2 linked regions of the Lepisosteus oculatus genome follow. The protein of the gene in region 2 interacts with the protein of the main gene of each other region in a pairwise test. Links are inferred from orthologs where the notes say so. Each region holds a gene or a part of one and is shown on either strand. Other genes may lie near its edges. The genes, in order: cystathionine gamma-lyase and gucd1.

The links.
Region 1: the proteins of gucd1 (region 2) and cystathionine gamma-lyase interact in binary tests that used the Homo sapiens proteins (3 or more experiments, as listed by UniProt). The two-hybrid records come from large-scale screens. The link is inferred for Lepisosteus oculatus from reciprocal best matches to the Homo sapiens genes GUCD1 and CTH.

Annotation. Positions count from the first base shown.
Region 1 is NC_090704.1:30,440,971-30,453,238, forward strand, and holds the start of cystathionine gamma-lyase, read right to left. Parts: upstream 4,397-12,268; 5' UTR 4,294-4,396; coding exon 4,123-4,293; intron 1-4,122. Other genes in the region: ankrd13c (ankyrin repeat domain-containing protein 13C), read left to right, coding at 7,305-7,686. UniProt on the Homo sapiens protein: Catalyzes the last step in the trans-sulfuration pathway from L-methionine to L-cysteine in a pyridoxal-5'-phosphate (PLP)-dependent manner, which consists on cleaving the L,L-cystathionine molecule into L-cysteine, ammonia and 2-oxobutanoate.
Region 2 is NC_090717.1:9,775,352-9,787,015, reverse strand, and holds the start of gucd1 (protein GUCD1), read right to left. Parts: upstream 5,909-11,664; 5' UTR 5,628-5,908; coding exon 5,621-5,627; intron 4,325-5,620; coding exon 4,240-4,324; intron 3,914-4,239; coding exon 3,748-3,913; intron 3,138-3,747; coding exon 3,046-3,137; intron 2,412-3,045; coding exon 2,170-2,411; intron 1,691-2,169; coding exon 1,599-1,690; 3' UTR 1-1,598. Other genes in the region: small nuclear ribonucleoprotein Sm D3, read left to right, coding at 7,551-7,676, 7,858-8,050, 8,552-8,616.

The sequences.
Region 1 (12,268 bases), on a different chromosome or scaffold from region 2:
AGGTTATTAAAAATCCCAGTGAGCTACAGTACTTGAAAGGGTGTTAACCCCCGTGCACAGACTTAATTTTACTCACAGTCTGAAAACTATACAGAATTCAAACAGGTGTGTTCAATTTTGAACTAACCCGACATTGTATTCTTCCGATTTTTTAATATGAACTACCTTTTATTGAAACTGTATGCATGCAGCAGGAATATATTTAAAATGACTGATTGTGATCCTTGTGTTAATTTTACTTTATGCTTTCATCTTTCAAGATATTGAAACATTTTGAAAATTAAATCAAGTAGCATAATGTTTACTAAATGGTGGCATTTTAGAGTGAAATCCTTTCCCTTTTAAAATAATGGGCCAAAAACATTTTTTTTTTTACGTGTTATAACTTCAAGGTTTACATTATGCAAGAGCTTGAAACCACATCAAATAAAATCATTTATAACATGTTATGACCCTGAAGCAATCCTAAATCTAAACATGCTAGAGCTTTATAGTAATGAACAATTAAGAAGTATAGTGCAAACAAGAAGTACAGTTTCCACATGTGAAGAAAATCTGTGTTGTAACAAACTTCTCTGCATTGCCGAGTCCACAGCTGGTTTTATGATGAGATTTCTAGGGCCCCCAAGAAGGCTGTGCATGTCTCTCAATGCAGTTCTCCTTGAACCACTGAGTTTCTTGATTTATTCTTTTCCTCATCTAGACAATTTTTAGGTTAAAATAAAAACACTAACAGAATGATCACATACATAGTAAAATATTAAGCTGCAAGTAAGGGATGTTACACAATCTATTCATATGACCTTATTTAGAATACTGCGGGCAGTCGTTAACATTGTTACAAAAGAGATATTGCTGTCATGGAAAGAGTTCAAATGGGTGAGTGGTTCCCAGGTTTAAAGGCAAATCATGCATGAAAAGATTAAAGGAGCCATTTGAGTCTATCACAGAGAAAGGGAATGGGATTTAAAACCCCAAAAAGAATGGCTTCCTCTCACATTCAGCTTTTGACCATCTTGCTCATTTGGTAATTTAGTAACTAAGTGGATCAAATTCTTTGTTCAGCCACTTTTTGTAGGAGCTCACAATAGTCCCTGGCCAGTGCTCACCTGAGTCCCATAACTATTGGCCTGGCTGGTCTCTACAACCTCCCTCTGCTGAATGCAATCTTCTTGTCCCTCTCAGACAATATGAACAGGTTGGTTTCCCTCAGGCCAGGCTGGGTGCTTCAGGAGCTCCAGGCGGACAATACACGGCTGCACGGATCGTGTACACTGCCTACCCAGAACTCGAACCAGACGATTCTCTTCCCCCCTTGCCCAATCATCAGCAGCCGAGTCATCCATCGGAGCTTAACCCCTGACCTGTGTCTTTCCACGGGCTCACTGGCCGATTCACTGGGAGGAAGACGGAGATTGCAGAGCCAGGGTTAACAAGGGTGAGCAGCCACTTGCCCCCAGTAGTATAAGAGATGAGCAGATTGGTCCCATTTTTGCTCTGACTTGCTCAAGCTATCCTTGCTCTCTGACATCGTCTTCTGCCACTTGCATTGACACTGGGTGTGCCCTCTTTTTCAACACCCCCAGAAGGGCTGGCCTCTTTGTTTTGGCAGGGCATGTTTGATTTCTGGTGCTTTAACTGTCCTCCCTGGTTTTCTAAGTCAATCAGATTTCATTTGTCAAGACTGCTTCATTCCTCTTTTCTCTCCCTACAGTTGGATCCAAACCGAAAGGCTCTGTTGAAGCTTCCTGATGTAAACTAAATCAGGGGTCCTGGTCTTGGTCTAATCATCTGCTAGTTTTAATTCCAGCAGTGTTTAATAACCTAATGGAAACCTTTATTGACAAATTGGTTGATTGGAACGTTTGCAAGTTTTCTTTTTCAATGCAAAATGCAATGCAAAAGCTTGCATAAATTTACTTATGAAATGCAATAGTTAAAAGGCAACCTCCCACATATTTCAAAGCTGAAAACAATTCAAATTAATCCTATTATTACATCAATCACGGGTTCAATTGTGCAATTGAGAGCTCAGCTGGAAGAAAACGAGCAGGAGCATGAGTCTCCATGACCAGAATTAGGAGCCTGTGGTCCAGGTGGTGTCATTCCTCTTTCAAGCTGCTTTCTTTCTGGTAGTCTGTGGTGGTAGTGCACAGGCATGTTGTACAACTGCTGGTCCGACTCTTTCACAAAAAGGGCTTGGGTCTCTGCACAGATCCAGGAAGGTCTGCAGGTCTGAAACCCATGCAGTCTATCATGGGGTGGTGTTATGTGGATGGATGGCCTGAGGAGTGCTCTTGAAAAGGGTGGTGAGATTTGTTTTCCTGGAGCTGCTGTAGGTTCTTTCTCAGGTGTGGCCATGTAGGGACTCTTGCCAGTTATTGCAACATCCTCCCACTATCTGACACCACTGCCGTGCTTTGAATGTGTCCGTGAGTTCAGAGGATTCTCCAGCAAACACATGCTCCAAACTGTCAAGAACAGCACAAAGTGTACAAACCGGTAAATCAAGAGACCTAAAACTGCAACAGGTTCAAGTAGGGACAAGCACCACGACATAGTTCACCCTAGACAGTAATACACCCAGCAGCTCTATAACCCTGCAACTCACAACTGGCAACCTCCTGAAGCTCAGCAGGAGTGAGCATGGCCAGTACCTGGATGGGAGACCTCCTGGGAAAGCTAAGGTTGCTGCTAGAAGAGGGGCCAATAGGGGGCGCTCACCAGTGGTCTGTGTGGGTCCTAATGCCCTGTATAGGCACTGTTTTTCAAATGAGACATAAAATGGAAATCCTGACTACCGTGATCATTAAAAAAAAACCAGGGCATTTCTCATAAAAGAGTAGGGTTGATAATCCCGGTGTCCTGGTCTCCCTTTACCAATCATTGTCTGTTCTTCTCTTCACTGATAGGTGATGTGTGATGAGTGAACTGGCGCACTTTATTGCATAATTGGTAGTGGTGGAGGGTAGTCCCCACTCACTACCTGTAAAGTGCTTCAAGTGAAGTGTCCAGAAAAGCACTATATAAGTGTAAGGAATTATTATTATCCAACTCTCCAAGCCAGCACAGTGGCTCCCATATTCATTCCCTAGCCCTTATGATATCACATTGATCATGACACTAGGCTAGAAGATTAATGACATATTGTCACTGGGGCCAGTCAGGTTGAATGGATGTCTACATGTATAGGATTGGTACACAGTGCTTATTTAAATACATAATTCTCATTGCTCATTGTTAGCTCATTGTTGGAGGACTGCTAGGGTGACATCGGTTCATACTCAAGCACCTTCTGTGCACTGGGTTCCTGAATTTGTCTGATTCACTGTGCCTAGAAACACTGGATACACTAGATACACTGTGTCTAGAACTAAGGAGAACTGCTAACCTAAATTTGCTTGAAACCCCCTGAGAGGCCACTAAAACTACTAGCTTCATGTTCATCAGAATATCATATTTTATATATTATATGGAAGAGTCTGGGGATAAAGAAATGGACAACCATTGGTCACTAAAACATTTACATTTTTTACTTTTCCTGGTCAAGGAGTTATTCATTAACATGAATTCATTTACATCCAGGCTTCAACAACTACATTGCAGAGTAACATTGCTCTGTGTCTAGTCATTGACCACCTGTCACTGTGGGCAGTGAAAAGCACTGTCATCACTATCTGCTGAATACCAAATGGAATACTTTTAAATATCACTACCCAGGTTTTAAAAAGATTAGCAGTTACAGCTATTACATGATAGTTTGAGGTCTTAATATAAAAAAGGTAAGGCACTAGATTTTAAGTTAAGCGCTTGCCCTAACAGCACGGTACGCCTTTGAAGACTCTACATATCATAAAGCTTATTAGGATTCCCAAAGATCTCCTTTTGTTCGACTAGTCCGATCGCCTAACGAAAAAACACGGTCCACAAAACTATGAAAGGACTATGAAATAGAAATACGAAGTCAAATGGGTCGTGCATTATAACGACGATCAAGAACACCATTTCAGCAAATTATTTTTTAAGTTGAAGGGAGGCCCATATACGGGCAAAATCTCTTTTTCTTTTCTCTTCTTTGAAATGCATTACAGTTCAATGTATAATATTAATTCTGCAACTTACTGCATGTTGACCAGGTCCATGCTGTTTAAACGTGGTTGAGAGTGAGATGGGCGGCACTACAGCCATGGACGTCCACTGCTCTGGCTCTTGCCCAACATGGATTGCCTGTGTTGCAAAGGATTTAAAGGCCTCCAGAAACCCAGAAGAGTCGTGCCGTGTGCGCGAGTCCATGACTAGATCTAATGCAGTAGCAACGTGTCACAATGTCCTGAGAGCTACACCAGCGTGCGGGCCCTTGACAAGAGAATGACAAGAGAGAGGGTAACATGAAATACGAAACGTCCGGTTTTTTAACCAATCAACGGAGAGTGCAGAGAGGGAGAAGTCGAGCTCTATTGGCTTGTCAACAGGAGGCGTTGTCAGACATGTGACTGCTTTACGAAAGTAATTGTTTCTGTAGTCGTGTCGTCATGATGCAACATGTCGTTGTTTTAGTTACATGAATAAAAAAAAGTTTTTTTTTCTGTGTGAATGGTTTTGAGATGGGAAAGCAGGTTTCCCCTTCCTTATGCAAGAAAGAGTTAAATAAATTAAGCTCTCACTGAGAATCAGCAGCGCCCAAACGGGCATGCAAATAAGTACAAAATAAGCAGGGTTACAAACGAGAGGCCATTGTCCCATCCAGCGCTTTTGATAGTTAATAATTGATCCGAGGATCTCATCCAACCGTTTATTGAAAGCAGCTTGCTCCACACTCCCACGGCCCTTTGTGTAACGAAGTGCCTCCTGTTCTCGGTTTTAAATGCTCTCCCAACCAGTTTCCATTTGTGCCCTCTGATTTATTCAGTCTTGAATATGCTCAGCATACGGATTTCAACTATTTGGACCGCGGCCAAATTCATCAAAGACCTACACAAATTATCTCTGACGGATTATGACGTTGGCGCTCAAATTGTATGACAATAACACTGAACATAATTGATTTTTAGAAGGGATTAATACAAATTTCATAATTCAGATTGTTTTGGATGGCCTCACTTACCAAACGTTTTAATATAGTGAAATAACACGGAGAAAGTTGTGTTCTCGTGTCCTCTAAATTAAAAACGTATTTTTGAAGACAAAATGTCTCTGAATAGTTGCATTTTTTATACTCGAATTGATCAAATGAGATTATTTTTTGCACGAAATCGATACGACAAAGAGCCTGGGTAACTAAAACTGAGTGTTTGGAGGCTGCGTTTTTTCATTTTGACCAATAGGGGGTGCCACTTGGCTGGGACGAGATTTAGATGAAGTTCAGGAAAGGTTCTCGTTACTGTTACTTCATGAGTTCTAAAAAAATGCGTAACCGCAACGATTCCGCAAATATGAGAGACCAAGTGGGCACATTGTCTTACAAATTAATAGAAATGGCACAATAACTGCGCACGGCTGTAACCACAACAGTCTTGAACTGCTATGGACTGTCGTCGTTCTTTTGCTGTCTTATATCGGATTTCTGCAGTTTATTCTAAATCATATAAATCAATCACAACTAGACTGACACCTTGGAGGAACACATCACAATGACCTCAGAATAGGTGGTATTAAGCAAATAGCCTTGTCCTCAACAGCAACGTAGATCTGAATCTGTATTTGTGATAGAATGAGACTTTTGCAACCCTCATTGTAATTCAATGCAGTTCACGGGATGAAAGAGACAGAAAATAGCAATTGGCACGATATAGACTTATTCTTAACATGAATGCCATGATTGTATTGCCAGAGACTGCAAGATTATCCTCCTGACTTTTTAATGTTTTTTTTTCATCAGTAACTATAGGTGTGTTCGCTGGTGAGTAACATCCGTATGACAAAGGTAGTATGCAAATCATTTGGAATTTGAGCTCTTCGGCTAAACTAAAAAATGTTCCTTATATTGGAAAAATTAATTCTAACGAGTTATAATAAATAAAAGGCAGCAAAAGGTCATTAAAAGTATCCACGGCTTATCCAATACAATACATTGTGTAGTCAGCGAAACTGTGTAAGTACATATGCTGTAACCAGTGTGCCGCCGTGCCACTCAAATTCTTTACGATATTTAGAAATGTATAAAGCTCGAAGATATGTTGTCGTTATATTTTTTACATTATTTTTGTAAGATGAGGGTGGTGCAGTAGTTAGCATTGCTGCCTCGCTGCGCTAGGGCCCCGGGTTCGATTTCAGACCATGGATGTTATACGTGTGGAGTTTGCACGGTCTCTTCATGTTTACGTGGGTTTCCTCCCACACTGCTATAACGTGGTAGTAATCTGGGGAAATTCGTCCTGATGTGTCAGCATGTCTGTCTGTGTGCAATGTGATGGACTGCCGTCCCGTCCAGAGTGTACACTCACTGCCTTGCGCCCGTTGCTTGCCGGGATGGTCTCCGGCGACTCAATTGGATAAATCGCATAGAAAATGGATGGATGTTATAACTATGTTGGTTTAAAGGTTATCTGCTTATAAAAACTGAGTCGCCCAGCACAAATACGAGACCTAAAACAAAAAAAAGATATACAGATAAAGTCAGATTATCATCGTAAGGATACAGAAACCTTATTTAATGGAAAAACACCAAAATGTTCCCCTTATCTGAATTACGCATGTACATCACTTCATAAATATATTACTTTCCGTTAAGACAACAAAATTGGGATTCGCTTTTAATGAAGATATTTTCTGCCATCTGTCATACCAACCGCAGTTTGCTACAGGTTTATTTTACCAAAAACATCTCCTGCATCCAAAACAGCGAATAATTATTTTCAAACCCTAACTGCAGTAACTCCATACAGGTTGAAAAAACAACCACACATCGCGATATCATCTAACATCCTGCTTGAGCCTTGGAAACCCACTTGGACACTCTCGCGAGATTAGAGGCGGAAGATGGCTGTTGGGTCTTCTCTGGAGTCGGAGGATATACCCTGCAGGAGTAGCCAGCATAGGGACGTTATAGTTTGAGGGAGCGGAGTGGAGCGGTTAGGGGATCCTCGGTTTTCTGTGTGTATGCGCGGCTTGTCAGTTTTCGTTACCGTATGTTACAGTTTGGGGATTTAGTGTTTTCATGTTGTGCGGACTGCTGCTTTTGTCTCGGCATTCCCCAGCCTATCTACCGCTGGCATCCTCGCCACCGCCAGCGACACTTTCCGCCTATCCCTCCATCCCTGGCATCAGCATCCCCCTCTGCGAGTTTTTCTGAGATTTAAAGAAAAATGACCGGCGAAAAGATACGATCCCTGCGCAAGGACCACAAGCCAAGCAAAGAGGAGGATTTACTGGAGCCCGACGAGGAAGCCGCCGCCGGGACGTTCACCTCCTCCACTACCCGGACTAGTAACAGAGGCAAAGCCAATAAGATTTTTAGCAATCACAAGCTGATCAAAGCGCCGGGGCCACAGCAGCTGCATCAGCAATCTCAGATCAATGCAAACGCGAACACTAACACGGCGACGGGGACTATCGATGACAACAACAAGAACCCCATAACCCGGACGACGGAGGGTTTCCCCGTCCACGAGTGCGTGTTCAAGGGGGACGTGCGTCGGCTGTCGTCCCTGATCAGGACCCAGAACATCGCTCAGAAGGATGTTCACGGTAAGCGAACCCACTCGGGTCGCCTTCTCAAGTCAGGCTGAAATGTACGAGAACTTTTTATGTCCGGCTGTGTGCTCGATATTGAGCTACGTGTCCGTGGCGTATTTAGACGCGGGGTTTGCCTGACGTTGTAATTGCGACTTCTACAGCGCAGACATGCACCGCTGCGATGACATTTGTGTTTGGGACAGCAGTGTTACTTGGAGACCAGCCAGGTACCCCCCTCCCCCGCTGTAAAAGATTTGTGGCTTGTGGAGCATCACCGAGATTTGCTTTCCACATCCCAGATGATTCACAGCCACTGAAGTTGACAGGCTGCATTGCAAAAAACGCGTGTCTCTGGTGGGACAACTGAAACCTGCCTTCTGTAGGCATATAGAGGGATTTGGTCTATTCCTATATAAGTTACAGTTCTGTATGCAGCTGTTTATGTGTTGTACCCGGGTTGCCTTTACTGTTTTTCAGTCGTTTCACTTTTAGTAGACTGAAGTTGTGTTAAATATACCCTCCAGAGTACAGACTCTTTTTTTCAATTGCGGTGTCCACAGTACAAATAAATCCAGTTTTATGTGAAAAATGTTTCCTGTTCAGTGTGCCTTCAGCTGTATTTGAAAAAGATTTTCTGCTTTCGGTTTGTTTCCACGTGAATGTGGTTATGCTGCGTTGGCGAGGGGCTGTTAAAACATGCAATAAAAAGCGTACAAATCTCAAATTCAGGCTTTGACGGTGGTTTTCCTGTCTTGTAAACGTTCTTTACGTGGAGAAGCATGGCCATCTTGTGAAATACGTCTTCTGCCCCCTTTTTTTAGAAAGCACGTTGGTAGACGACTCTCCTGGCTTCATAATGATCTTTTCTCTGAGCCTGGGTATGTGGGCAAATAAGAAGAGTGTTTAACAAGCGGTCTCTTTTTGACTTGTGGATATGCCTGCCAGTACTCTTCACTAAAACCTCCTCATATTGAATTGCTCTAAAATGTTATTTTCACAATCACGCGAGCGGCCTGCAGACACCTTTGTCTTGTAGAAAAGTGCAAATCATTAAATGATTGTTTAACAAGCTTGATATCTGGGAATATTTCGTCCTGAAAAAGATGTGCGTTGCAGTGATACTACAGTCCCAAGTGCTTTTGGTTTACATGCCGCAAGAAGAAACAGAATTGCTTGGATCAGAACATGGATTGATCAAGAACAAGCAGTCTTTAGTTTTTACAGCGTGGCATTAAAAGAAGCTTATTTTTTTTTTCTCCTTGTCCTGTTTTTGTCCTTGTTGTTTAGGATTAACCTCTCCATCTGAAAATCTCTTCCTGCATGCAACCCAACCATTATCTACAATGACTCTGACATTTGTCATTACTCTTATTTGAATCTCTTACTTAACCAGTAGTGTGAATCGAAAACAAGTTCTCATTTGCAAATGATGGCCTAGTGTGTACCAGTTTATATTTCAGAGCATTGCATCCCCGTGGATGAAGTACAGTACCTTAGTGAAGTGTACGAAAATAGCATCCAACCTGCCATAGAAGTCCTGTGGTTTGGAGTCCAGAGCTGCTGTCCTCAGAAACCGCATGTGCACCAGGATTTTGACAGGAAAGGTGTTAATTATAAATTCACCATCACACATCTCACTGTTGAGAGGATCTGTTCTCAATGCCTGTGCGAAAATGTGTAATACTGATCATCTGTTCACTTAATCTAACTAGAAATGGTGCTTGTGAACAAATCGGTAAAACTGTTCCGTTATTCAACACGGTCTGATCATTGGCAGGAATAATGAAGAGCTGCTGATCAGTGTTACACGTTTACTGCCAGTATCCATCTCGGCAGAGGCGCAGTGCCTCTCATCATCTCAGTTCATCTTTTTCGATCAGAATTAAAGCATGATTTAAGATGGAAAAATAATGATTTCTTCTTGGTGGAACTTCCACAAAACAAGTAGCTGGTTTGTGGATGGTGCTTTGGGAAAATATAAAAGGAGTTTTTTTTGTAAACTAACAGCTCTGTAAATACACATATCCTGACACATAGGAACAAGTGAAGGTTTATTCCATGCAGTAAAGAGAAGTAAAGAAAGAAAAGGTTTTGGCTCTGGAGCCTACTTCAGGGGTCAGGCACGCAGTTACCTACTTGAATATCTTGACACATGTATACTAATGAAGCTGCTATCTACAAAGCTTCCTATTAAGTATATGCCTGATGTTGATTACTAGTATTTATTTTATGGGGTGCAATACAGTAGATATGCTTTAGTGAATTAATTTGTTTTGATTTTTTTATATGAAAAACCTTGCAAGATACACAGCACATTTCTGTATTTGTTCCTGATGGTATCATTCATGCATCTATTCATATGAAGACAATTCAATAAAGGGCTCTACATTATCCCTTTTAGGTGAGAAAATATGTATGTATGTTGTGGATTAAGTCAAAGCAATTTTAAAAGGGGAGGAAGAATAGGGACTATTGATGAAAGAGGGTGGGGAATATTAATAATGATCCAGACGTGACATCTTGGGCTATCAAATGAAAGAAATGGATTTCTGTTTACTGTTCATTGGTAAGACAATAGAGAAAACCAAAGGGAAAAAAATAAAAACAAAATATGGAAATGAAAAAACATATCTGCCCCAACTCCTTAAAGAAGAAAAATAAAGGAAAATGAAGAAACCGCATCCCCAACACAACATCTTGACTTGCATGAACAATCCACATTGTGCTACAGGTTAAAGTGTTGCAGGTTCAAGACCAGTCCTCTGCATGTTACTTCACATAAAGCATCATCTGAGCACCAGGCTTCTTTAAATAACAGGTCTGAAGTATCAGAATTCCAGTTTAATCCTGCTTTCGACAGAAGAGGGTTTCAGTTGGAGGGGTAAAGCTAAGAGCAGACTTCAGTGAGGGGGAAAAGAGAAGAGGCTTGAATGAGCTCTGAAGGAAGCTATGAAATCTAAGACTTCATTAAAACTTAGTAAGAAATAAAGAGAGCCAGGAGTATTGACACGTCAACTATCTATACCATATATCCTGACTGATTCCACCAGTTATGGCATACGGGAGGGCTTCAAGATCTAAGGTTACAGCCAGAACATAACAGGACCAGGAACGATCACATGAAATAAAAAAAAAAAGTTGAACACAACACTAGAGGAAATGGAGAACGAAAAATAAATGTTTTTCAGCGGCAGGCAAATTAATAAGGAAGCACAAAACCAGGAAGGTTTATTCCTTCTTGTAGGCACGTGCAAAACTCTGTACTGCACTTATCGGATGTGGCAGCAGACAGATGTGACAACATAACTAGAGAAAAACAATCAGACCACATAGGAGGATCCTTTTGGACTCCCTGATCAGCCTACACACAGAATTCCTTCCAAAAAGACAAGCTTGTCATTCTTGTCACTGTACTATAAAGCCCTTTATTTAAAGTGCCCCGAATCACAGACCGCAAAACATTTTTGTGTCGGTTCCAAGCAAATGCAGCTCTGATGCTAAGAGGGTCTTTTAAATTCAGACATGCAATCGTGAGGGTTTGAAGACCGCTTTCATTTACTACATTGTTCTCTGCTGAGTCAAGCACGTTATCTTCAAATATGTTGGCGATCTGCAGACGGAGATGTTTTTAGACTCAAGATACGAGGCATGCAAAAGTGCTGTGAATACTGTTGCAGAGAGTTGAAGAAATAACACTCAAATATGTACCAGTCAGAGGAAGGAAAATGGTAACCCTTAAAGAAAGTATTTCTAAAATCATTTAAATGTTTGATAGAAAGCCGAAGAAACAACATGCACTCAGTGACCTGTCAATAGAAAAATACAGAATGTGTTGCAAGGCTGCAATCAGAGTACTGCAAAAGCTTCTGAGCAGCTATATCCATGATGACTACCTATCATAGTGCCCAGATGTTTTCTTGCTAAGGTGGAATGATTTATTCTGTCAGGGCTACTTGTTACTTTTGTAATGTGCACACTGCATTTAGTATTTTCCATGGGAAACAGATCTCCTTTGGGGGTATTCATTAGGACACTAGATGTGTTATACCTTCACCTGTTCTTGTTTCTTGTAGTATTTTTCTGTTGTCTTAATTAAATGATACTTACAAACTGTAATTTTAAAGATTTCCCAGCCTGAATGTGGTTTCAACTGTAGTGTGATTTTTCTATCATGAGAATTAGGCATGTTTTATTCCGTCAGCTGTATTGCATTCTGTGTAGCTCAGAAGTTATGAGGAAGCTGGAAAATGGGTTCAAATAATACGAGAATTCAAACATTTCATTTTCATTATGGATTTTTCCGCAGTGAGGCCTGAGCACATTCACCTTATGTTCATTGTATATTGTGAATGGTTTCACATTCTACATCTTTCAGTATCGCCTATGTGTTCATAAGTATTTCAATATTTACTAAAATGCTTAATTGGATCTTTGCAAATGATTAAAGATACTACTAATTAAGTACAATTCAATCACAAGTACCAAGAAAATATAATTTAAAAAGGAAGCTGTAGTTCAGACATTGTCTCATAATATCCTTTTTCATTTGTTTTGTTCAGTATACTGTATGTTGCCTCACTATCAAGTGCTGTTA
Region 2 (11,664 bases):
CTGTGGTCCTGTGAAACAGCTGACTGCACTCTGCAGCACAAAGCAGTCCCCAAGGCTGCACCTGGATGTGAGGTTCTTGTGTTTTCCTAATAATGTTTTTGAAACAGGTGTGGTGCTTGTGTGTTTCCTGGTATTTGAAGCTGAAGACAGGTGAGGTGCGTACTGTATGTTTTCCTTTTCATTTCACCAGCTCACGGAGGAAAGGAGATTTCTCCCAAACCTGTTTTTCAAGCCCAGTTCACACTGGTACTGTATATTTTGCATTAACACAAGATAAGAATGCAGATACTATCCAACAACAGAACCTGGAGTATAACAATTTCAGGTTGGATAAAAAGAAGGCAAAAACCATTCGCTTGCTTTTGAAGTGCAGTCTGAACTCAAAAAGATTTTACCTGAAAGATTGACAGAATCTGAAATTTACCAAATTAAATAATTAACTGAAGCAGCATATACATAAACATTAACCCTTTTTCCCCATAAAAACAGTCAAGTATAGTACTCCCACAACTGCAGGATAAGCCCTTCTTATACCTAAACTGAGGTCTGGTAAAGCTTTGAGAGTCTGTATCTCAAATGTATTAAATCGGTACGCTTTTAAAATTACCCACCTCCTCTGAAATAACGCCTGCTCAAGAATCAGGAATTATATCAACCAGGCCTAATGTGTCAAAACACATCATCAAAAAGATGAAAACATATCAGAAATGCAGTTAACCCTAGCTATAATGATAACATATAGTACCTCTAATTTGGATACAGAGGCCCATGAAGGAACATTACAAAAAACTGACAGAATCTTTCAGGTGTCAAAAAAGTTATCGACACCTGCAAACACCTCCAGCTTGTTCTGCTTAGGTCTTGGACATCCGTCACCATTGCATCATAAGTAAGGTGCAGACAAACTGTTGTTAAATTTTCAAGCTTGCCGACCAATAATATACAAATACAGGATTGGCTTTTTCATCTCAAGAGGTGAGGAAAGCTCCAAATGAGCACATTTCTCGTTTCCACTCTAGAGAAAACCTGGGGATATTTCAAAATGGTACAGAAAACACAATATAAAGGGATCAAGCTTTCTGACCACTATCATTTGCGATAACCGATCATACTGTTGAGAATATCACTGAACCACTTTTGTTGGAACCTCAATACTATTTTTATATTTTCGTCTTTACATTAACCTCACAGAGAAGGTTTCCTACATCTTAAATTGCACGTTGATTTTAAAAAATGTGCCAGACTCTGCTTTTTCTCAATATGTGGAACTCGCCCATATGCACAGAAGGAAAAATCATAACACTGGACGTGTTCAGTCACATTTTCTACATTCTGTCCACAAAAAAAGAAATTCCCTTACTTTGACACCACCTGAAACACGTGGTTTATGAAGGTAGACAAATGACACAGTGATGTGTTTTTTTGTGCAATCAGCCATTTTTCCATTGGAACAAACAGCCCCATCTAAAGATACCATGCTGCCCAAACTTAAAGATCAAAGCTGCTAAGTTCTGGTGCAATGTCCTAGGCTGTAAACAAACAGCAAAGCTGTCACGGTGTAGTGCTCGTGTGCAGAAATCAGGCATGTCTCCCGGACATCAGCTCTCCTTGTAGACAAACAGAATGTCTTCGTCTGTCCCATAGCTTTTTCGTGCCTCCTCAAAGTTACTTACGCTGGTATAACACACTCCTGCAAAATACACAAGGAATTTTTTTGTCACTGAAAGCAAATTTCCTTGGATGCAGTCTGTGTTTCAGAATGCATGGAATACATTCCTGCAGTCCTTCAAAACCATGATCTTTCAGAAAGACATTTCTTTTGCTCTGCTATAATGGAACTATTTCATATTCCAGTTCTTACCACTAATCAAATCAAATCTTCTTTAAGATCACAGGAAATGAATTTTTAAATGTTATCTTCCATAAGTATCCCACTCTGGCATCAAAGCAGAGTATGTGTTCATACTCAGAAATTTTAGAGAGGATTGGATTTATAAAAGTTCTGTACTACTTCTAAGAAACACAGGAAAGACAAAGGTCTTGTCATTCAAAACGGCAATTCAATGAAGACCATGACACATCGGAACAACTTTTTTTCCCCCACAGTTGTTCCTTACTGTGGCACTCTTTTTCCATCTTCCCAAAGGAATCACTTCAAGGGGAACTCACTGTCTGAGTAAGCTGGGTTGTTGTAGAAGACAGAGTTGGTGGCAAGGTTGAAGCCACACACCACCACAAAGTGCCCCTGGTAGTCAGGCTTCCTGCAGAAGCACTTCTGGCCCACAGGAAGGAAGCAGCAATACTTGACAGGGGTGGAGCAGAGGTCACAGACCAGGAGCACAGCATTCACCAGCACTATCGCCACGTGCCCTTGAGCCAAGTGATTCTGGATGTCCTGCATCGTCACAGAGCTGTAGAAGATCAAAATCACTCCTGTTACAGGCTAAATCAACTAAAAAAAATAAAAGCATTGATATTTTCTTTAAACCGGACATATGTACTCTAAATCTTGGGAAGCTCTTCTACAATTCATTCCACATGCTCTCTTAACACCTTCACCTAATCTCTTATGGCTTGAATTAGTCCAAATTTCCACTGTATTCAGACGTTCGCCTTTGTTAATCTCAGAGAACCTGCAGGACCAGGGGAACATACAGTTTTCTTGCTTTAATCCCACTTCAGAATAAGGTGAAATGTGAGAAGAACATCAGCACTCACTATCCGGACGTTTACCATGTCTAACATTAACATTAACAGAGTTTAACGTAGAAGTCATTTTCAGGCTTGTAGTTTTATTCATAAGACTGTGGTTAAAGTTCTATTAGGGAATGGCCATTAAAAGAAAAAACACCAAAACAAGTTGGAAGCAGGTGGCACAAGCAGACAGAAGAGTGCATGTTGTAAATGTCATTGTTTCTCTGACATTTGCAGGTGTCTTGGAGATGCTAAGTAGACAAATGAAAATTCTATTTTCCTGCTGAAAGCAAGAACACAGCAGATGTAAAAAAAGGAAAGCAAAAGGACACAAAATGATAAAATACCTACCGTTTCTTCACCACCACCCCATTGCTCTCTGCCTTGTTAAAGAGCTCATTCACTCTGTCCTCTTCGGTGTCAAAATGCTTTTTGTAAAACGACTGGGGAATCAGAGGGAAGCTAGTCAATTACTTACATGTAAGGTTAAGTATTACATGACTGTTCACTTTTCGCAGGTGTGTCAAGGAAAAGGACCATAAAATTAAAGAACTCATGGAACTTTCCAAAGGAATAGAGGTGGTTATCCATCTGTCCTACCAAAATACTACTTTGGGCATGAATAATCTGGCCGTATAAAACTACTCTCTTAATTCAACTGGCAAAAAAATGTCACTTCTCGCCTGCTCCACCTGGGGCTGCTGGCTTAGAATGGCTGCAGTGTGTCTCTCAGGTGGGGGCTACACTTCCGTAGCAGAGACGTCAGTCCCCTCCTATATATATATAAAGAACTTTGATATCCTTTTGTAATGAAAACATCTATATAAGTGTATTAAATTCTTATTAAAGCACAATAAACATTTGTGACAACACCTAATGGCCCACTGCACAGTAAATGAACCAGTTGAGCTATTTGGCCAGAGTGCCTACAGGTAAACTGGATCCACTACCTAACCGAGTTACCTTAGCACGAAATATTCCAACCTATAGAGGTCTTTAGCCCTATAGTTCACACCAGTCGGACTGTCAGGAAAGTGCAGAGTTGGCCAGTACCTGGTTTCTGTAGCCCTTATCTACCCCAAGGGTCTGGGTGCAGAACTGATGTCTGACTCCCAGGTGGCTCATGAGGTAGGCCAGGTCAATAGTCCATACACTTTCGGTCAGCTTGAGCTCCCAGCAGGCATTCTGAAACTCCTCCTCACTCACTGGGTGGAGGTACCTACACAGTAACGTCAGGGGGCAATAAAACACAGCACTGCTGCAACCACTTCCTTATGTTCCAATAGCAGTTTGACCCATTGCAAGCTTTTAAAACTGCATTGTTAGTTCACAAAACTACAGCTGCATGCCACACATTCGCACTAAGAGCCACGACTCTAGCTATGCGATGAGCTAGATTTCCAGTTAGGCAACATAAAAAAAAACAATCATCATAAATTAAGAACAATAATCATTTTCATCACCACATTTTATGTTGTAAATGCTACTAAAGTTCCAGTCCATTCTGAATGTAGTCTACAAAATGTTTTTCACTGTCTTACTTACTTCAAAACCATTCTGGAACAAGCCAGCCCACAGTCCCAGTGATAGAGCTGCCGAATGGCAGGTACTTTCAGTTGAACAACACCATCTAAACAAATAAAAGGGCCTTGACGTGAATATACTCAGATATTACACTTCTGGTGTGTTACATAAAAACATAGCGATAAAATAAACACTGAAAACATGCAACCCTATATTGGACAAAGTGGTAAGAAATTGGATGGAGGAAATGTTAAATGCACCTACTGTAGCAACTAAACTGCCAAACAAGCAATATGGTCAATTGTTTCCTTTTATGCAGTAATACATATATAATTAGGGATCGTCAATGATTTCAAATTAGAAACTGTCTAATCCAGTGATTCCTAACCCTGGTACAGGAGAAACACTGCTTTTTTTTTCCTTCCAACTGAGCTCTATATCTCCATATCTCTATCTGACTTAACAGATCTGCATGCTTTTTTAGCAATTTATTTATCTTGTTTCTTTGTCTTGAATGCCACACATACCCTACTGTAAGGGTACTGTTTCCAACAACTACAGCACACAAACCTGTATGCAGTCTGTTCTCAAATTGCCGTCTAACTAATCACTGGTTGATAATGAACAGACACAGGTGGGAGTGAGAGTTTATCAGACATTCCCAGAATAGGCAGTTTTATTTTTCTTCTGCAGGAAGGTACAGTGAGTACTTCTCAGGCAGCACACACGCACGACACTCAGAAGTCGGTACGTGCTTGATACCAATTACGAATCCCATTTGGTATTTTAAGAGCTGAAAGCACATTTCCAAATGCGCACCGAAAACAGAACTGAAATCAACTACCTGCGATAAAATACACGGCTGGAGAAAAAAACACGGATATGAGCTACTCTTATCACTGAACTAAACTGTAAACACGCTGTACGGAGCTGTGTCAATCGGGATAGAGGGCTCAGTCACGGATGTTAACTCCATTTACGTGACCGGTGAATAAATGTACCTACCACGCTACTGTACGACCCAGGGTTTATTTACAGTTAATTCGATAGTGGTTCGTGTAGTGTTTTAACTTGTTTTACACGCAGGACAAGAAGTGCATAGCAGGTTGAAGGACATCTGTGCTCAGCCGCAAAGCGAACTTCTGAAACCAGTCACACCACTGCTCCTCTTAATTTATTTTCAGATGCCTGACGAGAAACAGTCGTGTACATTAAAACACTTAACACCTGTGGTAACAGGGCCCGCAACACCTCGACAGCACGACGGGACCTTTCCTGGAGCCTCGAAATCGTTGAATATGTTAATTTCCAACAAGGGCTGATTTAAAACAAAAACAAAGCGGGACCATCCCAAATCATCCAGTTCGTCGACACGGAGTACTACGCTAACGCTCCATCTTACCTGTCATTCTGTGCTGCTTGTTTTTTATATAATGCTGTTAAGTCCTTTTCACTTTCTGCGCACGATCTGGCGATTTTCAGAGAGGAAACCGTCTCAGCACCACGGCGCTGGGTCTGTTCGCCGGACATGAACATTAGGAGCCACAGTTACGACCCCGGTCCGGGCCGCCTCTCTCCGGCACTACAGTGCTGATCTGCTGGGCACCTCTGCCTGCATCTCCGCCGTACGCAATTTCCTCTTGCAAAACGAGGACTTCCACAGACGCTCATTTGAAAACCGCTGCGCCTACAGCGCCCTCTAAACACAGTCAAGGAGGGACGAGAACTAGAATAAATAGGCTGTTCTTATAATATATTGTACTCCAGTGTACTACTCGTGACAGTAGATGGTGAGATATTCGGGGCGATCACAAATTATTGGGGAGCAACTTACAACTGGCTATTTCTTTTTTTATTTTAGTTTTGTTGGGTAGCTGCTTAGAGCCATTCTTAAACGTCACAAAATCAAGTGCATCTTCAACTTGTTTTTCTTTCCTTTTCAGAAAAAGAAGGGGTTTGGAATAAACCCAGCAAGTGACGAAGAAGAAGGTTTAATGAAATAATAAGAACTTATACATTGATGAGAGTTACTGTATATCTTTACAAATGTTTTTCGTAGCACAGTAAAAAAAAGTTGGAGCAACAGAACATGTTTCCTCCTTGTGTGGTATTTAGTAAAAAGAAAGCCCGTTATACTTATTTTCATTCTTGAGAAATTTTAGAAGACGTTATGTTGGTTAAACTACAAATCCCAACATTCATCATAACGACGGAAAAACCCAAATCGAACCGGAAGCACTTTGTGACTTCCTTTAACGCGTTGCATTGTGGGGTATTGGAAACGAACAAAATCGTACTCCGAGGCGGTCAGGTTTTAAACACGCTGCCGTTCACGATTAAAACCGGGAAACGGTTAAATAAGAGAAGGAATTCAATATTTGCTGTGAACAGGTAAGAATTTTATGTTTCATTACAAGTTGTAAGATATTACCTTTCTTTTAACGAAGGGAATCAAGATTATGAGTTCGTTGAAGGTAGGAAATGAACTTGATTTGAATGGCGTGGAAATACTTTACGTTAGAAAACAAATATACCTTCTCCTGAAGTATTTTCTCCCAGATGCAAAACAAAAACTTTTTTTTGCTAATGAGATGGGTTTTTTTTTTCCCATAGCTAAAGCTACCCAAGTCTCTTTGGGCTTTGCCATAACACAAAGGCCGTGTCGAAGTAGAGACCGTTTGTTCTCATTTACTGCTTTGAAGAATATGTTTCGAAAGTGCAGAATATCTGCTTCGAAGATTGTTTTAGTGAATGTTGCTTAACGCACTGGTCTATTATCTATAAAAAGAGTTGCCTAATTTTTTTTTTAATCTTGTGAAGTGCACATTATCACATCTATTTTGTAAAATGTATGCTAACAAACTGTCAAAAAAGTTAAAAGTACTAGTGAATTTTGCTCTGGGGTCCATCTTGATCACTGATAGTATATACCAGGTTAAATCAGATTGCTCTTTAGACTCGAACTAAACATGCGTACCTATGAGTAAATGCATCCAGTATCCAGGTTTTGATTCCTTTGTGAACAGCTAATGGCCTGCTTGGTCCATACAAACCCTTTACAATTGTCTAAATTCAAAATCTAATACTCGTTACTGAATGCATTTTAATCTTGTTACCTAATAACAGGCATTTACAAAAACGTGTGATGTGTAACCTTAACTTGTGTACAAACTGAGCTGCAGGACAGAATCTAATTTATCGGGCATGGGGTAGAGATGCTGGCTTTTTCCAAGGTATCCAGAAGCATGGTTTTTGTGTGTTCTAGCCTAATATTGCTCACCTGGAATTATTTGCCTCCCTGTCATGGTGTTTGTTTAGAGGTCCCAGTTAAAATGTCCATCGGAGTGCCTATCAAAGTTCTGCATGAGGCCGAGGGTCACATCGTCACCTGTGAAACCAACACGGGCGAAGTGTACAGAGGAAAGCTTATAGAAGCAGAGGACAATATGAACTGCCAGGTAAGCCTGATAAGTGGTTGAGATGAGAAATGCCAGGGGTCACAAAACCAAGCAAACCTTTTAGGCCAGTGACCCCATATAATTTCACACATTATGTGCTTTTGATGGATTCTTTGAATTAATCTCATGCAGAGTTGTGCACATGCAAGTGAATTTAAAGCTGCTTTTTTTTGTCTTCCAGATGTCTAATATCACTGTGACATACAGAGATGGACGTGTGGCGCAGTTGGAACAGGTCTATATCCGGGGCAGCAAGATAAGATTTCTAATCCTGCCGGACATGTTGAAAAACGCCCCCATGTTGAAGAGTATGAAGAACAAAAACCAGGGCTCTGGAGCTGGAAGAGGGAAGGCTGCCATTCTCAAAGCTCAAGGTATGTTGTTCACCAGACTCCAATTCAGAGGACAGTTCTCCAGGTGGTGTGTTTCTGTAGAGGACTTCAGCGTGATCAGCAGAACCCTACAGAAATATCAAAGTTATTGGTTTTTATTAAATTTATTCCTTAGCGTCCATCGTACTGATGACTGTCTTGAAATAAAGTAACGCCAGCTAGAAAGTGCTCTTCGATCACCACCTGCTGACGTGTGCATCGTTACTTGGTTCTACACCTACGTAATGACCTGGGTTAAAACTCCTTAGGTTTAGGTGCATGGGTTAAGGCCTTCATTAGAAGTAAGACATTCGTATCAGGTCACGTGGCTGCTAATAAGTTACTGATCTGAGGGGCCTGTCATTTCTTGAACGATGGAACTTATTCCAGAGCAGCAGTATTGTTGGTAATCTGTTGATCGGCATTGCCAGTTAGTGCAGCTTGTTTGCAATTATAGGGTGATTAACACGTACTGTATATTGTGTCCACTTTTTTCTTTTTAAGTGGCTGCGAGAGGAAGAGGCCGCGGGGGAATGGGAAGAGGAAATATTTTCCAGAAGAGACGATAACCCTCAATGTGCACTTCATGGCCTTTTCTTACTGTACAGTTTTTTTAAAAGGTTGGGTGATCATTCACGATGTTGTCTGTTAAAAGGCAAATCATTTTTGATTTTTTTTTTCTGGCAAGTTTTTTAGGTGCTCAATAAAAATAGGTATAATGTCCAGTGTTTGTGCAGCTCCTTTACTTTCACATTTTAACAAATCAATATTCAGTCAGTACTGTCTTTAACATTTGATTTACTGCAGTCGAATCTACATGAAAGGGGCAGCTGTTTATGTAATTCAACATATTGATCCTCATAACAGCCTTTAGGTTTGGTCTAAAGATGATTTTCAACTTCTGTCACTTTTGTACTGACTTATAATGAAGTTTGTATTGTAAGAAATGTCGGGTTTCCATTCAGTCTTGTTTCAAAAACATAATTCACCTTATGAGCTTCTCCAGAATTGATGCATTGATAAAATAATGTCTAGTGGACAACATAGTCTGGTTTTGTTTTAATAGTAATTCATATCTTTGGCCGTTAAATAAAAAACTTATGTTGAACATGAGTGCAGCTGTGCCTTTTTTTTTACTCTTCAGGTTTCATACTTTGTTCCCAGTGATCTGCTGGTGTTTCAGTTTTGTGTAATCTAAATCTGGCAGCTTACACATCTTCCACTCTAGTGTCTCTGAAGCTCCCTCTTAATTCAGCTGAAGCCATTTCTGACTCCCCCACCTGATCTGCTCTGTAGAGGAGCTGTTGGTGCACATCTACCACTTCTCTCAGGTGGGTGCTGCTCTTTGGCAGTGGGTGAAGTGCACATTCAAATATGCAGAGTGTGTTGAGGTGAAATGTTATAGAAATCCAATACATTAGAATATAGAGACTGATATAGTTTTACCGACGAGGCCAGTGCCATTCATGCAACATGCCTGATTCAAATAGTTTCAAAGTACTTTGTGGAGAAATCAGAAGTAGGGTGGTCTCATCTTGGGATAAATGTCCTGGGTTTTATGTGAAGTGTTTGAACAGTGAATAACACTGTCACGGCTGGACTGCTATATATATATATGTAACTTTTTTAGAAAAAAATATGGCAGGGTTTTGTTTGCATGTACAGTTAAGAAAATACACAAACATCGGCACCCAGCAAAGAATCGACATTAAAAATGAACGTCGAGAAACATTGATTAGGACCTTTCTGCCCACGAGAGGGCGTCAGAGAGCCACAATTTCAGTGTACGTGGGTGTTATGCGTCGCTAATGCATATTTCTGTAACTTTGAGAGGTAATGGGTTGCGAGTTAGTCAGATATGAGCGTTTAAGTATGATGCAGCGTTCTCACGATTCAGACATTTTTAAACAGGGATACAGCTTTCTCCTTCACCTCCATTGCTAGCAGCCTATTTGCTTAAATTCACCATTTCTCGCCGGACACAGAAAACGTTAATTGAATATTTAATTTCACCAAAAGCATATATCGTTAACCGTTCGCTTGCCCGCTGCTAAAACCGTATTATCAACAGTATATCGCGGCATGGTATTCCGAAATCGAAGTACTAGTAATCGGTCAAAACTGATCAGACTCATTGTGGGGGAAAATCCCCATCTGAGACCAGTTCTGTAGGTTTACAGCTTGATCCCGCAAAACACTCCTCAGTTGAAGGAGGAGGATTTGATCTGTTTTATGTCGGGATTGGACTATCCCACTTCCAGTCCACCTATCAGCGCCCAGTCGTCCGCTCTCCCTGCCAGACAGCCTTATTTGCAGGGAAATCGTGCGATGGTGTTGGGAAAGTAGCGGAATCTGCAACATTTTCTGACGGGGAACATGAAAAGGTAACGCGTCTCCCTGAGATATGCACGGCTGGGAATTTCGCCAGGAAACGCGTGCGGTTTGGTGTAATGCGTTTGCGAGCGCGGTCTTCCGCTGAATTTGGCTGTTTGTGATTTTAACATCTGTCTTGTTAACTACAGCCAACGGGGCATGCAAACTCTCCCTCTCTTATCCCTCGCAAGAATGTGCGATTGTGTTTGAAAGGCGGGCGTTCGTCTCTCAATTTACTTTTCACTTCGTACTTGCCGAGTGTCCAGCCTAGTTGGCATTATGATCACAGGCGGAGAGAAACATGGGTGCGCGTTATAAGTGAATATATATTTTCACAATTAGCTAGTATTAACCGTGATTCATTAGTTCAGAACGAGGGCTCTGGCCTTTAAGAACACTTCATAGTTGAGAATGCGTCCTCGCAGTAAGAGCAGATGATTGCGGTTCAAGAAAGCGGAATCGGCGATGTGAACCATTGACAAAAATTGCACTCCTATTGCAAACGTCTCGGGCCGCGATCTCGCACACTATTTATTCTGCTGGGTAAGAGGCCTCTGATTTTGAGGGGGGGGTGGGCAGTCGGTAGGTTTTGCATTATTAACAAGCCCGGCCCGTGTTGTAGGATGTGTCCGTACAGGTAACGCCGATTTTCGCATGAAAGCGAAGGGAGAAATGAAAAGATCTCGGCGATCTTCACCCCACACGGTTGTTTTGGTTGTACTTCACTGTACTACGGCCGCTATACCAACGTCCGCTGGGTCCTAAGACTACACGCGGCTCTCAGCATCTTGACTGAATCAGGTCAAGGGAAAGGGTTTCTTTTTTGGACTAGATCATCGTCTGTTTAGTGCATCGTGCCTGCCAGTAATTACAGTATGTGTGGTTAGTTGTTTCTAAGCATTTTGACTAGATAGCGCTGCCAAGTCGTATGGTCTTAAATATTATAGGTTTAAAGGAAATCAAATTTAAATAGTCTCGACATTTACTCACGTAAATGCATATCTATACAAATACTGCTTGTCCCGGATTTTTGTTTCAAGTTTGGTATTACTTTGTATCATAGCGCTGCAATGTGATTGATCGTTTACACTCCCCGAGGGTCACAGTCTTGCGGGGTTTCATACACCTCTTTAAAAAAAGATTATCCTCTTTAGATCTGAAAAAGAGAGATACACTGGCTCAGTTAAGGGAGTAGTTAGTTCAATTACTTAACAGCTCAGACAAAATCCAATTGCTTTTGAAAG